Cricetulus griseus: one gene and its partner. The protein of the gene in region 1 purifies or fractionates together with the protein of each later gene. This does not show direct contact. Links are inferred from orthologs where the notes say so. Each region holds a gene or a part of one and is shown in the gene's direction. Other genes may lie near its edges. The genes, in order: Rapgef2 and Magi1.

Region 1 (3,819 bases):
GTCTCCAATGTGTGATCCTCCAACCTCTCCAGTGCTAGGATTACAGGCATTCCCACCATTCCCAATTTAGCTTCCTCTCTTAAATTGTCCCTTCACAACCTCCCAGCACCAAATGCACTGGGAACTAAGCCACACCTTGGGGATCAGTTCATATCCATACTATAGCAGAGAGTAAACAGATCAAGAGAGCATAGAGAAGAGCCTGCTGGCTGGCTGTGGTAATAATCCCCATACTTCAGGAGGCAGAGTTGGGCAGATCTCTGTGTCTGAGGCCAACCTAGTCAGTCATCCAGCCAGGGCTACAAGCAAGACCCTGTCTCAAAGGAAAATAAACAAAACAGAAGGGCCAGCTGACAAAGAGGTGCCAGCTGCCAACCCTGGTCACCTGATTCTATTCCCTGGACCCACATGTTAGAAGGGGGAGACCTGACTTCTGCAAGCTGTCCTCTCACCTTTACATGCTTGCAGGGACCCGACCCCCCCCCCCACACACACACACAGGCACATGAATGAATGAATGAATGGATGGATGGATGAATATAAAAAATGTTAAGATAGCATAAAGAGAAGAATTATAAAGGCAAATGGTTTGGTTCTGACCCTGCTTTTAACTGCCACTCACTACCCAGGCAGGTATGGCATGATGATCTTAAGCATTCTATGAATCTCCATGCATGGAAAGTTCACACACATAGGTGCTTTGCTATATGTCTTCCTTTGTTTGAGAGGGGTCATTTAATCATATCTCACTCTTTTTCTCTCCCCATTTAGCGGCCTAAACTTGGCACCAGTGGCAAGACTGAGAACTACCTGGGAAAAACTTCCCAATAAATATGAAAAGCTATTCCAGGACCTACAAGACCTATTTGATCCTTCCAGAAACATGGCAAAATACCGAAACGTCCTGAGTGGCCAGAACTTACAACCTCCTGTAATCCCCCTCTTCCCCGTCATCAAGAAGGACCTCACATTCCTCCATGAAGGTGAGTACAGGTGGGCTCTCTCTGTTCAGGTGGGATCACAGAATGAACCCTGTGTGACTTCTTCTTCCTCCTCCCTTAACCTCAGGAAATGACTCTAAAGTAGACGGATTGGTCAACTTTGAGAAACTAAGGATGATTGCAAAAGAAATCCGTCATGTAGGCCGAATGGCCTCAGTCAACATGGACCCTGCCCTTATGTTCAGGACTCGGTGCGTGAGTTGTTGGCCATGGCATTTTTGGGTTAGAATAGTTAGAGTGAGCTTGCCCATGGTAGGAAAATCTGAATACTTAACTTCAGGAGTTACATTAGGATGTGCTGAGAGAATCACCCCCAAGGTTCAATTTGTAATGATGTCTCTCATTTTCACCCAGGGCACACATGATAGTAGTGCAAACAGCTTGTCCTTCAGAGAGTTTTAATTGAATGTTAGGTGCAAGAATTTACTTCTTATTTTCCAGAACACTGAGTCGCAGAGTTAGAACTTGTAATCGGTAGTATGAACATCATAATGTCCATACAGTGTGTTTATCTGACTGTAAAAAGCAATGATTAGTTCAGTGGAGGGAATGAACAAAAGTGTAGGCAGCAGCCTTTTAAGCCAGAGAGATGTTTTGTAGTGGATGCGTGTGAGGTGACTATGCAGTTAATGTTTGTGGGCTTCTAGAACTGCTTGTCCAAAAGTCTGGTCCTTTCTTTCTGAGCTTGTGATCTTTCTGTCTCTTTCTACACCCATGCTTCAATCTCCGTGGCTCTCACTTGCAGGAAGAAGAAGTGGCGGAGTTTGGGGTAAGTGGCAGAGCATTTGCACACTTGGTTCTTGCTCAGCCTGTTGCATTGTTTTCTTATCTGCTCTGTTTTCTGATGCTTTGCTTTTTTTTTTTTTTTCTTAACCCTCTTGCTCTATCAGAATTTCAGATGCAAACTGACTTCAGATTTAATCTGTTGGGGCTTTGCTGAAGTCAGGTCCATAAGAGCTGTGAAATGATTGATGATTATTCTGGAAAATGATTGATTATTCTGGGAAAATGTAGACCAGAAATATTTCTTGGCTGTCAGAAAGATTATATTTTAATATAATTTGTGTGTTTTGAAATGAAAAAGCCAAAGAAGTGGGGAAGGGAAGCATGCTTTTAGAAGGAAGAAATCGTGCAACTAAAAACACGATTGCACAGATCCAGAAGTGAATGTGGTGGTGTTAGGCACCCCCACTCCCTAAAACCAAATTTTCTACAGCTCAACTAACTACTATTTTCATTCTATGTAAATCAGCCCCATTTAAAAAATAATTTTTAACAATTCATATACTAGTTTCCATACATATGTTTATGTTTGCATGACAGTTGTATTAACAGATTGACTGTTTTTAAAACTTGTACATTCAACCCACAGAGTAACAACGCAATTGTGAACAGTGTAGCTGAGTTTAATTAAGTCCATATAAAATGCCCCCATTAGGAGAAGCAAATATAATTTTGTTAATTGTCACTAGGATCATTCAGTGTCCTTGCACAAGCTTTTATATGCAATTATGTTTTCTGGCTTCTGTGAGAGAACGGACTTTGAATGCTCTGTGAGATGAAAAGAATTTGCTGGTAGGAGCAGAACATTTGCCAGGCATATTTGTGTATATGTATTATGTATAATTCCTTTTTTAACCAAATCTTGTGTAATCTCTGTTATTCTGCATTCCCCTGTATCAGTTTACTTACTGGAATGGGGCATGTGACCTTTCAAGCATAGAGTCTTTACACAAGTCTGGTAGATCATCCAATACCATGCTCCAGAGAGTTGCATTCTTATTTTTCATCTTCCAGGTCGCTGAGCCAGGGCAGTGCGAATGCCACAGTGTTGGATGTTGCTCAGACAGGCGGACATAAAAAGCGGGTACGCCGTAGTTCCTTCCTCAATGCCAAAAAGCTATATGAAGATGCCCAAATGGCCCGGAAAGTGAAGCAGTATCTGTCCAACTTGGAGCTGGAGATGGATGAGGAGAGTCTTCAGACACTGTCACTGCAGTGTGAGCCAGCAACCAGCACTTGTGAGTACCTCCCCAGATCAACTGCAGATTGTTCTGTGTATGATGGTGGTGGCGAAAGGGGTCTTCGAGCAAAGAGGCACACGGTGGTCCTGAGATATACCGTGCTTGTGCTTGACTGGGTCTTGGTGTCATTAAGTTAGTGCAGCAAGGGGACACTGGGCTCATATCTCCTTGCCTTGATTTCATCTGACACAGCCAGCACCACAAGCGAGGGACATGGAGGTGATTGTGGTTCCAGCTGCATGCCTTTTTTTCTCACAGAGGAACTCCTAAAATGACGGGAAGCCTGGTTAGGGATCATCAGGTCAGGATGTGCTGGCTCTGGGTCTCCCTAAACTCAGACAACCAGCACCTGCCCCTGAAAGCAGTGATCCTGGTATGCAACACACCACATCTGAGCCCAATGTGTAGGTTCCCAACCTTGAAATAACTGGCCAGGCTGTGGCACACGTCTACAGTTCCAGCCTCTGAGGTGGCTAAGGTTGGAGGATCACGTGAGTTCAGGGTTTCAGTTGACAGCCTGGACAACATAGTGACATGTGACTGTCAAAATGAATAATAAAAATGTGGCCAGTCTGTGTGGACACTTTCCTTTGTGTCTGTCTCTATATGATAAGGTTTAAGCATTTTGCCTTTCGGACACTTTGGGAACTTTGGGGCAAATTTGAATTATATCTTCTTGCTAATTAAAAATGTGTGAATGATAATTTGAGAAGATCACATGATCCAATCTACCAGGGCATAGGACTGGAGAGATGGCTTAGTGGTTGAGGAGCACTCATAGTTCTTGCAGAGGA
Region 2 (3,819 bases), on another chromosome or scaffold:
GTTCTGAAACCTCTACACATTTCATCCTTTGCTTGCTTACATGGACTGGGGCATGGCCTAAGACAAGATCTCGATAGCCCCCTTTTTGATAATCAGAGAGAACATTCTGTCTAGTCCGACCAAGAGCGAAGGAATGTTTGTTGAACTGTGCCAAACTGTCTCTCAGATCCAATTGTTAGCACAAATGACTACAAAGTCCTTTAAGGAAGCAGGTTGCCTGACTGGTGTTGAGGCACAATATCTAATTGGGCTTGTTTCTTTGTTTGTTTTGCTCTGTTTTGTTTGTTGTTTTGTTTTGTTTTTGTTGTTACTTTACTGCAGAGGTGTGAAATTCTGAGCTATTGGGGGGCTTTGCTCACTTTGTTTAGACTCTGTATACAACAGTTCTCTGTCCCTCTCAACTGGTCTTTACCCCAAGCCAGACCACCTGAGCCCACACTATCAAAAGAACAACAAACAAATGTTGATCTATTAGCCATATGTCTTTAAAAAAGGATGAAATAGATTCCCAGTGCCCATCATGAGGGAAACCTGTTACTATACCTTTCCTATGAGGAAAGCCAGGTGATACGTAGAGTTCCTCTGTCGTATCTTAATCATAGTTTGAGTAGACAGCAATGCTCTTTGCCTAGGTTAGTGTTCTGATGGCAAAATAGTGTATATTGTGATAATTATGTCCTATTTATTTGAGATTCTTGTTTAAAATTTAAAAAGCAAAAAAAAAAAAAAAAAAAAAAAAAAGGAAGCTATGCCCTAGATGTAGGGCTTTTTTTCCCAACCAAAGGTCTACAAAAGTTTCTATAGAAACTGTGATTGAAAGATCCCCATATACATTGGTCCCCTTTATTCGGGATTTATCTGTTATCACCCTCGTTTCTGAAGGTCTTTCTGCACAATTCCCCGATGCATTTTGGGCTCAGTGAGAAGCTCAATTTCAGACATAGTTCAAGGAGGAGAGTGGCTCCTTCGAAGGGCAGCCTTCCCAGGTGTTGAACATTGGAACGGGTGCACAATGGGAGGGGTCTGAGGTAAGGGGGAGGGTGGGTGTCCAATCAGAGGGAACCTTAATGACGACATCAGGTGCCATGGCTGCACACTGTGCTTAACTTCTCTGACCATTAGGTTTATTGATACCACTGAAACTGTGTAACATGTCTCCCTTTTCTGTCTTCCCTATGCTTCTGTTGGATGTGATCTCATTTGAGAGTCATCGTCAGTAACCTGTGTATCTTCTCCAAACCTATGTCTGTTGCACTGAGGATGAAAATCCAACACTAACAAATGTTCCTTGGGCTAAAAATAAAGATCATTGAAATACATGGTTTCCCACAAAGGGTTGAACATGCCAGGGTTGTGCTACTGTAATGTTTCCATGCGTCATTTGGACTAAATCTCTCTAATTCTATTGATTAGAGTTACAAATGGGTTATAATATGTTAAGTTCCAATATTTTTCTGACTTGACTGGAACCTGCTTCTCTGTGAGGCTATTTTTGTAATGAGTTTTTTGTACTTAATTTAACTGCCGCGGTATTGGGGTGGTGGGTGGGGACCTTGTTCTTTTGTTGTTTATTGTTAATGCTCTCCTATGCCAGCCTGTCATTGTTCCAGTTGTTTGAAAAAAAAAATCACAAAAACAAACAAAAAAAAAAAAAAAAACAAAAGGATGCATCATCATCTGGTTTTCAAGTCATCTAACAGCTATCTAAAATCATCACTGTTCCAATTACGGTCTCTGCAGCCTTGGGTGTTGCCTTAGACTGACTGGACAAATAAACTCTCTTTGCCCTATGTTAACAAATGAAGATTTTTTTTCTTTCTTTCTTGTTATAGGGAATCTAAATGTTCAACTTTTTCTCTTTCTCTCTTTCTCCTTCTCTCTGACTGTTCTTGGTGCTGGGCTCTCCCTTCTACAGCGATGATACCTCCTAATATCGCTGCATGTATGAGAAATGAAAAGCTCGGGGAGGCTTGCTTCTACCTTATGGGCCATAATCAAACTACGGTTTGTAGCTAAATCAATACTAGGTGTTTCTGTGCTGTGGCCTAATTTCCTCATTGCTTCTGCTTAGCTCTATTTTGATATGTTTGGCAATTCATTCTGAGCACCCTGCGTTCTTTGAATTGTAAGTACATGGCTAACCCTGTTGAAGTGTTGCTCTCCCTTGTCTCAAGAATAGAATAAGATCATAGGTTAGATTGACAGCTTCTCTCCCCCAAATGTGGAATGCCTTTGTCTTTGTCCCAGTAGCACACTTAGCATTTAGAGAGAATGGGGCTCATCATGGAGCTCTCCCCTGGTGGGTAAGGCTTTGCTGCACAGGAAGAGGACATTTCCTGGTTGAGGTATCTCTCAGCAGACTCCAGCCTGTGAACCAAATCCTGGTTAAAGCCAGTTTTGTAAATAAGGTCTTACTGGCATATAGCACACCCATTTTTAAAAAATGTTTTTGCACCACAGTGGTCAAGTTAAAGAGGGATTGCTGACCCAAAATAAGTGATAGCAGACCCCCTCTCCAGTAAGAAGAACCAAGACTGTGAGGACTCATGCTCTAGGCTCTAGCTCTCCCTCTGTTGAACTCATCCTGGGTTTGGAGAGATCTTTCATTAGACAGACCGTCTGGTTCCTGCTGTCCTGGCTGTCTCTGTGGAAGGTGTTGATAAAACCCAGTATCCCATGTTGCAGCTCAGCAGCTTGGGCACCTAAAACTTGATGGGTTTATCATTGCAACAGAACATCCCACTTTGCAAAGGCTCTCATAAATTCAAGATGCTGCCTTAAATGGCTGTAGTGTCAGTTCAGATAGTTTAATGATGAATGGGACTTGCCATGGGCTGTCCAGCCTTTAGATCTGTAGATGCCTGAGTGAGCTAAGGAGCAGTCCCATGGCCCCACAGCTCTTGCATATTGTTATGGTTGCTTCTCACACCATAAAGAAAGGTGCTTTTAAATGTAGAGATTTTGTAAATCCCAGCTCATCTCAAGCACCTAATAACCCATCCCTCTCACTTTTATCTGGCAGAAAGCTTTTTTTTAATACAGTTCCTTTTTTAAAAAATTTACTTGAAAGTAGAGAAAATAATTAAATGTAAAAGAAGTAGTTTAATGGACCTTCAAGCCTAGATAACCCCCTACTCTGAATCACTTTTTAAAAGTAGAAGTATGGTTTTTTTGTATGACATGCAGATCCTCAGCCAGTTGCCCTGCTTCTTGTTAGATCACCACTCAAATATGCCAGCGACTATTTCTAACCCCCAGAAAGCTTTCCTCATGCCCATCCAAGTCTGTGTCCTAGGTTAATTTTAAGCAGAACAAGTATTCACAAATAAAATGGTATTGGGGGGGAACGGGGAAGGGCTGATGGGTGGCCAAGAAAGAATAGGTGTGGGTCAGGGTACCATAGTTCAGATACCTCTAGATAGACCCTTCCATTATAATGGCCTGTCTTCAGGGTACGGGGAATAGTCAGCTAGATGTTGAAAGCCATACTGCTAGTTTTTAATCTTTACTAGTTGCAGTAATATTTAAATTAACCAAGATTCAGTTGGCTTGGAATCTGCTTTAACAGTTGTTTGTTTTTTGTGACTAATGAGTCAAGTGTGGGAGGGAACCAGGGCCAGGAGCCACAGGACCTTCATGTTAAACTGTTGTCCTATTTCTCTTCCTGGCAGACCCCAGCAGCGACCGGAACGGACCCTCCACCGGTGCACAAGGTGTTCCGGAAGTGAGGCCCGGGCCGCCTGACCGCAGACCGCATCCAGCCTTGGAGTCCAGTTACCCACCCGATCTTCACAAATCATCACAACATGGGGAAAAGCG

What was found.
Region 2: the proteins of Rapgef2 (region 1) and Magi1 purify together in Homo sapiens (co-immunoprecipitation; 3 studies listed by BioGRID and IntAct, with this or other methods). This does not show direct contact. The link is inferred for Cricetulus griseus from reciprocal best matches to the Homo sapiens genes RAPGEF2 and MAGI1.

What each region holds. Positions count from the first base shown.
Region 1 is NW_023276806.1:75,177,454-75,181,272, forward strand, and holds part of Rapgef2 (rap guanine nucleotide exchange factor 2), read left to right. Parts: intron 1-771; coding exon 772-983; intron 984-1,068; coding exon 1,069-1,192; intron 1,193-1,746; coding exon 1,747-1,770; intron 1,771-2,798; coding exon 2,799-3,022; intron 3,023-3,819. UniProt on the Homo sapiens protein: Functions as a guanine nucleotide exchange factor (GEF), which activates Rap and Ras family of small GTPases by exchanging bound GDP for free GTP in a cAMP-dependent manner.
Region 2 is NC_048601.1:50,147,535-50,151,353, forward strand, and holds part of Magi1 (membrane-associated guanylate kinase, WW and PDZ domain-containing protein 1), read left to right. Parts: intron 1-1,915; coding exon of another isoform or gene 1,916-2,004; intron 2,005-3,671; coding exon 3,672-3,819. UniProt on the Homo sapiens protein: Plays a role in coupling actin fibers to cell junctions in endothelial cells, via its interaction with AMOTL2 and CDH5. May regulate acid-induced ASIC3 currents by modulating its expression at the cell surface.